2 linked regions of the Cricetulus griseus genome follow. The protein of the gene in region 1 purifies or fractionates together with the protein of each later gene. This does not show direct contact. Links are inferred from orthologs where the notes say so. Each region holds a gene or a part of one and is shown on either strand. Other genes may lie near its edges. The genes, in order: Dcaf1 and Cops6.

The links.
Region 2: the proteins of Dcaf1 (region 1) and Cops6 purify together in Homo sapiens (affinity purification with mass spectrometry; 7 studies listed by BioGRID and IntAct, with this or other methods). This does not show direct contact. The link is inferred for Cricetulus griseus from reciprocal best matches to the Homo sapiens genes DCAF1 and COPS6.

Annotation. Positions count from the first base shown.
Region 1 is NC_048597.1:215,060,370-215,064,183, reverse strand, and holds part of Dcaf1 (DDB1- and CUL4-associated factor 1), read right to left. Parts: intron 2,893-3,814; coding exon 2,734-2,892; intron 1,175-2,733; coding exon 995-1,174; intron 141-994; coding exon 1-140. UniProt on the Homo sapiens protein: Acts both as a substrate recognition component of E3 ubiquitin-protein ligase complexes and as an atypical serine/threonine-protein kinase, playing key roles in various processes such as cell cycle, telomerase regulation and histone modification.
Region 2 is NC_048597.1:116,889,186-116,893,616, forward strand, and holds the start of Cops6 (COP9 signalosome complex subunit 6), read right to left. Parts: upstream 2,989-4,431; 5' UTR 2,408-2,988; coding exon 2,281-2,407; intron 2,072-2,280; coding exon 1,949-2,071; intron 1,758-1,948; coding exon 1,626-1,757; intron 1,210-1,625; coding exon 1,121-1,209; intron 1,026-1,120; coding exon 963-1,025; intron 595-962; coding exon 547-594; intron 211-546; coding exon 96-210; intron 18-95; coding exon 1-17. UniProt on the Homo sapiens protein: Component of the COP9 signalosome complex (CSN), a complex involved in various cellular and developmental processes.

The sequences.
Region 1 (3,814 bases):
AATTTAATGGCCAGGTGAGCCTCAAAATACTTTCGAAGAGCCATGCAGGTATGTTTGCCTGTTTGGCGGCTAGCAAATATTTCATCATCACTCAAAAGTGCACCCTGGTCTTCCAAATTTAAAATCTCCAAAGTACTGATCTATTAGTAAACAGGTATAAGATTCCAAAGGAGATGGGGAAAGAGCACACAGAAAAGTAAAAAGATTAAAAAAAAACATTTGGTAAATGTTTATATTCAACAGTACTGACAAGTTTCATATTCTAACAGTCATATGAAATGAAAAAATGACATCATCTAATCATATTAAAATATATAGAGAAGATGAGGTATGATGGTGTACTCTTGTAGCAAAACACTTGAGAGGCTGAGGCATGAAAATACCAAGTTTCAGGCCAGCCAATCTACATAGCAAATTCAAGGCTCTTGAACTACAGAAAAATTTTCTTAAAAATCAAAAAAAGAAGGATTGGAGAGATCAGCAAGAGCACTGGCTGCTCTTCCAGAGGAGCCAGGTTCAATTCCCAGTACAACACGGCAGCTCACAACTGTCTGTGGCTCCAGTTTCGGGGATCCAACACCCTCACAAAGACACAAACACAGACAAAACACCAATGTACATAAAATGAAATTGAGTAAAATCTTTAAAAAGGTAATCAACTAGAAAGGAAAGCAAAAATACACCAGCCTAAAATTGTTGCCATTTGAAAAGATCAAAATTAACCAATTGCAGTGTGTGGTAGCCCACAGTTGCAATCCAACTCCCAGCACTTGGAAGCAGAGCCAGAAAACTAGATACAAGTTCAATGTCAGCCTGGTCTACAAAGGGAGTTCCAAACAAGGTGACATAATGAAACTACCTTTTCTCACAAAAGCCAGAGAGAGGGAGAGAAAGGGGGAGGGGGACTTCCTCTCTTTTACGTGGTATCTTTCAGAATAGCCAAAATAAACAGGACTCCTAACAGCTAACTGAAGAGCCAGTGGAAGAATCTCACCAAGTTCACCAGGCGACGAAGACCATCATAACGGTCAAAGAGCTCCAAGACAGCCCGGAATGAGAAGCAAATTGAGAAAAACATTGTAGCATGGCAGCATCCTGAAGCATGAGAACATTCCATTAACCATAGGGTATAGTTCACCACATCAGATAGAACATTGTGGGGATGCATGCAAACCTGCAAAAAAGTAAATAAATATATTTTAACATTTGGAGCAAAGGTTTCTTTAAAAGGGATGAAAAATTGTCCAATGTAGACAGAAATGTTTACAGAATACAGTGATCATTCTAAATCAGTTCTAGAGCATAATTCATTCCAAACCTGAAAACTACCTAAATTTAATTAAGTACAACCTATACTTACCAAGAGCCAAAAATATATCATTTAATGCTTCTAAATGACTAGGTGCATAAAGTATACACATCTTGCTTAACAATTATAAGATGCTCAGAGACGTTAAGGACTGTGGTGATATCTTATTTGTATTCTAACAAATAAACCTTGCCTGATGATCAGAAAAGTTAATCACAGAGGTCTGGAGGTCTGTACAGACAAACAGGAAGTAAGATGGCTTGGCAGAGGAATATAAGGCAGGAGACAGTAGCTCGGACTCTTTACAAAGGTATGGAAATTTTATAGAGATAAGAGCGCTAATGCTGAAAGCTCTACTTCTCTGACCTTTCAATTTCACTCCCTGATATCTGACTCGAGGTTTTTATTATTAAGACCAATTAGAACTCCTGCTACAAAGGACCTTTTACAGTCTCACTTTATGGCCTGGAATTCAACTATGTAGACCAGATGGGTCTCAAACTCACAGATATCCACCTGCCTCTGGCTCCCAACTACAAGGATTAAAGGCATGCACCACCGTGCCCAGCAAGGACATTCTTAAGTGGCTGAGCCTACTGATGATACTAAGTCTACAAATGTATCAGCTGCTCTACTGATTCATACATCTGTATGCTTCCTATAAATTAAACACCGTCAAACATTACCTAGGTTTGCCTGGTACTATTTTCTATATTTTAGTCATAATTAACTTTGAGCATATAGTTTACTATTCACAAAAAGTAAAATTTTAACTATTGGTTATCTTAATTAATTAGCAAAGACAAAGACAACACTCAAGACAATCAAGAGCTATACTTAACTTAAAAAGTCATGTACAATACAAAATATTAGAAAAATGTTCCTGGTACAGAAATGATAAGCCCTCTCCTAGAAACACCTAGGGGAAGCATCACTTTTCAAATGTATAGCCCACTCACTTTTTAAAAAATGATCACTAACATAAAAGACTTAATGGAAAAACAAAAGACTCAAACTAAGAATGAGAACAGCTAAAATTAGTTCACTATCTCCAACACAAATTATTTAACATATATAAAGCATATATAGTTTTTATAATAAATTAACTTTAAAATATAATACAGTTGACAAATGAAAAGTGCCTATTAATTGTAATGCCACAAAAATCACAAAAAAAAACAAATAAAGCTGGTAAAACATCTGTCCTGCACTTTCTCAGTAGAGTCAATTTTTTCTAAACCATTTCACATTTTAGGATGCTTTATGGAGATATACATCCTTATTCTTCATGTCTTTCATAAGAATTTCATCTTGTCAACTGTTTCTTTCTTCTTCTTATCCAAACATTCATATGTGAATATGCTGTTTTAAAGAGATGGTCCCCATCAAATCCCATTCTCATCACCTGAATGGACTAGACTTACTCTTTCCATAGCATCCTGGTTGTAGGACAGGTAATACAAGCACATGGATACACCAGTTGCAGCCATAGAAGGACGAGGAATTTCCAGTAATTTCTGTACTCCACCATGTGCAACAAATTCTGTGGCAAATTTGTTATGGAGCAGGAGAGATGCTAGGTGCTAAACAGTAAGGACACATGTTACAGTGGAATAATCAAAAACATCACAAATCTCATAACACAATATTAACTTCTATAGAGTCATCTAAATAGAGAACCACCCTCATTCATATATATATATATATATATATATATATATATATATATATATATATATAGTAGAGTAGTCAGACAGTGATGATGCACGCCTTTAATTCCAGCACTTGGGAGGCAGAGGCAGGTGGATCTCTGTCAGTGTGAGGCCGGCCTGGTCTACAGAGCAAGTTCCACAGAGAAACCCTGTCTCAACACACAAAAAAATAAAACACGAATTTATTACGTGAGTGGCTATGGTGTTACATGTGGAGGTCAGACAATAACTTGCAGGAATTGGTTTTCTCCTTCCACCATATGGTTCCCAGAGATCAAACTCTGCTCATCAGGGCTTGGCAACAAGTGCCCTAACCTGCTGAGCCATCTCACTGGCTCTAGATAGGCTATCTACTGGCCTTGAACCCACTGACTCCCCACAGCTGGGATTACAGCTTGCACCACAACACCCAATTTTTAATGTTTAAATTTTGTTAATTTCCTGCTCAAAATTCCCACCAGTCTCTCAGGATGAAACAATCTGTACTATTTTAAGGACAGAAAGTCCCACAAAAGTGGGATGGTCTTCATATTTCTGAACCCAGGGCCTCAAAGACAGCCTCAGGAGAGCTAGAGCTCCCCTCCTGTTTCCAGAACAGACAATACAAGCCTGCAATTGCATACTTGAAGAGATAAAGTCAATGGCACCATTAACAGGTATTTACCCTCTTCTCAACACCTAGAGCTGGACTAAGCCTTATATAAAATTCAAATCCTTTCCTTTATTATCCTCTTGTTTATCATAAAGGCCTCTACCATTCTTCCCTCAAGAAGCAGCTAAACTAGGTATCCAT
Region 2 (4,431 bases), about 98 Mb from region 1:
TATCAGGTGTTCGGCCACTGCAGGGGAATGCGGCAAATGAAAGACAGTATGTGACCACAGCCACCCCACACTTCGAAAGAATTCACCTCCCTTACCAGTGGAGTTCTCCCCACTGCCTGTTGCTGTCATCCGTGCCACATGGTCTACACCGATACGTTCAGCTTCCTCAGTGGCCAGTGTGTACGTGAGCTCAGCAAACAGCATTGTAGCCTGCAGAGCAAAGGGTTCCCACATGAGAAGAGTCAGAATCGGAAACAAAGGAGCAGATGGCTGCACAACCCTGAGGATCTGACTTTAGATCCTCAGAACCCACAGTAAGCTAGATGTGGTAAGAATGTGTCTGTACCCCCAGCACTCCTACAAGACCAGAAGTAGGGCACAATTCCCAGAAACCCCCAGGCAACCAGCCTGGCAAACAAGATGCTGTCTCAAACAAAGTAGAAAGTAAGGATGGACATCCAGGGTGGTCCTGTGACTGCATACATGTGCATGGCATGCAGGAAACAGGCTAAAAGCAGGAATTGAAGGTTGCAGGGTAGGTATTACCTCTCCATTGATTATATCGATGACAGACTCAAAAACGCTGACAGGAAGCTGTAAGACAGATGGAGACAACTCTTACTAAGAGCAAATGCACTTGAACTTAAACATGTGCCAGGCTGGCCTGGAACTCACAATCCTGCCTCAACCTTCTGAGTGCTAAAACTGATTAAAAGTATGTGGACACACTTGGCTCACCTTTTCAATTTTCCCCAAAACATACCCACATTACATATGAAAGTGCCACTTACAAGATGACATCATAGAATTGATGGGTAACTAGCAGCATGGTAGACATTCAACTCAAGCATTCTCTAATACAGATGATGTCACACAGTAAATTACAGCAGAGCATGAGGATCAAAAGCAGGCAGAGTGGTAGATGATAAAGACAAAGGGGACATAGGGTCAGCAATACTCACATCTGTGTGCTTGGTCATGGGGTTCAACTTCAGAAAGAGGGGGCTCTCAATTATCTCGCACACCTAAAAGAAAAGAGAAGGCACCCCCCAAAAGTCAACCTTTCTTCCTCTTATGTTTGGTTCTCTTCCCCAACATGTACACATTTGAACCTGTATACCTGCTTATGGACGTGGATGTCGGAGGGGTCAGGCGGCCCCCCTGTGGTATACCAACCCAGAAACTCCAGCTCCTTGAACACCTGTTTAACTGAAGAAGGGGCCAATGTAAACAATATTTCTTTAAACCGCTCTTCGTTTCACTGACTTTGGTGTATTTCTTTTTTTCCTCACCAGTTCTTCCCTCCCTCCTCAAATTTTGGCTCAGTTTGGAGTAACTACACTCTGCCATCGCTCATCCTTTACTTGCTGAAAATAACCTTTTATTTCTGATCTCCTGTCTCCATCTCCTGGTTTATATGATACTCGAGGACTTAACTCTGGGCTTCTTGCATGTTAGGGCAAGCACTATACCCACTGTCCTACATCCCCAGCACTTTTATCTTACATTTATCTTAGCCAAAAGGACGAGAAGCAATGCACTTTTACTTAAGACCAACCCAACCCCTGCCCCCCCAAATCTTCCCACTTCACTTCTCTTTCCCACCCACTTGTATCCCCTCTCACACTGCTCCTCCTTGGTGTAGTAATATTCCTTGTCAATGATAATCTTCTCTTCCACGGTGTGGGACAGCAGCTCAAAAGAGTTCATCACTTCGATATTTCGCCCCTCCTGCTTCCCGATTAAAGCCCCAATCACTGAGAGGAGAGAAGCACACCAAAGATAGGTGAGGGAACAGGCATCCAAAATCTTTCCTCATAACCCAAGACTCTGAGGTCAGTGTGAATCAATGATTGAGGGAACTAATTTGGAAGAAGTGGGAGGCGAGGGAAAAGTGATTGGAGGAGGTCTCCAAGAGGAGGGTTTGAGGTCTACACACAGCCCTCACCCTGCATAGGCCGCCCCTCCTGGGAGCGCATGCGGATCCAGTGGTCGGAGATGTTGAGGATGACAAGGGGATGAAGAGCGACGGAAACACTCCCAGTCACTCCAGAGGCCATCACGCTGGGGGCTGTGAAAGGTAAAGGAAAACACAGCGGTGAAAGCTCGGGCCCTCACATTCTCTCCTAGACATGGGAGTAGGGGACCGGCGCAGCCGGGCCGTCCATCCCTGCCCGCAAGTTACGCTGGGACAGCTGTCTGTCGCTTCTCCCGGGCTTAGGTAGTACTCAAGATACTCCGCAAGGGCGATGCCAGAAGTCGCTCCGCACAGCCCGTTACCTGCTGCATCCACCTCCATGCCGCTGCTGCCTCCGCTCCCGTTCGCAGCCGCCGCCGCCATTTTCCCCGCGCCCGCCAGCCACGGCCCGCCCCCTTCCTTCCCGGCTTCCGTCGGCGAGCGGCGCATGCTCAGTATGTGCTTGGCGCTGCTAAAGGGCGGGGCATCTGCCAGTCCTTGGTAGTCCTGGATGTCCAAGAGCACGTCGTACTGTGTTGCTGTTACCTGTTCTCAAGTAACCTAGCATGGCCTTGAACTCTGTATTGTGTATCTGAGGATGACTTCCACTTTGATCCGCCTGCCATCACCTCCCAAGTACTGTTATTACAGGTGTGCATCAACAAGCCCTGGTATTTTATGCTCAAAGCGCAGAGTCACTAGGCCTTGGGTCAGCCAGAAGTCACTGGAGAGTAGGGCTGTTCGTTTCCAGCGCTCAGTGGGTGCATTGTATGTACTGGAGCCAGAAAATTGCAACCAAAAGGAAGCAAGGCTGTTAGCAGGATGTGGAAAGCAATTTATTCAAGATATTAAACTTTTTCATGTTGCATATAATCTGTATGCAGGAACTTGGTCACTTGTTTGTTTGTTGACATAGGACCTCACTGTGTAGCCCATCTGGCTGGGAACTTGCTCTTAGAGCAGGCTGACTTCAAACTCACAGAGATGCGCCTGCCTCTGTTTCCTGAATGCTGGGATTAAAGGCGTGCGTGCGCCACCATGCTCAGCAAGCCTAGCTTTTGTGTGTGTGTTGGGGATTTAAACTCAGATCCTAACACATTATCATTGAGCCACCTCCTCAGCTGTGACTGCTCTTGAACTGTTTAGCTGCTTCAGTGGCAGGGCAACCTGACTCCTTACACAACTTAGTGACTGCTACTGGGAGAACTTTGGGCACACAGTGGGATGGGTGCCAGGTGAATCTGGGGCCACACTGGTGTGGTATCTGCTACTTACTGGCAGAACCTCTTCAGTAATTGTCTTAGGGTCTCTATCACTGTGAAGAGACACCATCACGATGGCAAATCTTATAAGGAAAACATTTAATTGAGGGGGCTCACTTACAGTTTCAGAAGATCAGTCCATTATCATCATGACAGAGCATGGCAGTGTGCAGGCAGATGTGGGGCTGGAGTAGCTGAGAGTCCTACATCTTGCAGGCAACAGGAAAGTGACTGACAGTCACACTGCAGGAAGCTTGAGCAAAAGAGACCTCAAAGCCCTCCTGCCCACCCCCTGCCACCCACCCCACCCCCGCCTACCCAGTGACATACTTCCCCCAATAAGGCTATATCTCTTAATAGTGCCACTCCCTTTGGGAACCATTTTCTTTCAAACCACAACACAGTGATCAAGCAACTTTGTAGAAGTCTCCACCACTTTTCTGGCAGAGGACTCTAGCCATCAAGCTGCCGCCAGCAAATCACATAAGAGAAGCCTTTATCCTGCTTGATTGTACCAATAGGGAAGGTGCAGTGTTGTGGTGGTTTGAATAAGAATGGCCCCTGATAGGCTGGAGAGATGGCTTAGAGGTTAAGAGCATTGGCTGTTTTTCCAGAGGTCCCCGGTTCAATTCCCATCACCCACATGGCAGCTCACAACTTGTAACTCCAGTTCCAGGAGACCTGACACCCTCACACAGGCATACATTCAGGCAAAACATCAATGCACACAGAAGTAAATCTTAAAAAAAAAAAAAAAAATGGCCCCCATCGACCACCAACGCCCGGCTATGCTATAAACTTAAAGCGGTTACCATTAGAAGAAAAACAAGACAAAGAAACGTTAATGCTAACAGCAATTTAACACTATTTTTAAAATGCTTAACACCTGTCTAGGGCCCAAGGAGAACTAGGTCCCCTTCATCTGTCTCAGAATGAATTTTTCAGATGTTAGTTACACATGGGAGATGATTTTTATTTACTTACTTATTTTCAATGTGTGTTTGTGTGTGTGTGTTTGCGGGCATGTGCACACGCGCTGACCCAAAAGCTAAGAATATCATCAGATAGCATATGAGTCCTATAGAAAAGCTTACTTCATAGCTGAGTGCTGGTGGCGCACGCCTTTAATCCCAGCATTCGGGAGTCAGAGGCAGGTGGATCTCTGTGAGTTCGAGACCAGCCTGGTCTACAGAGTGAGTTCCAGGACAGCCA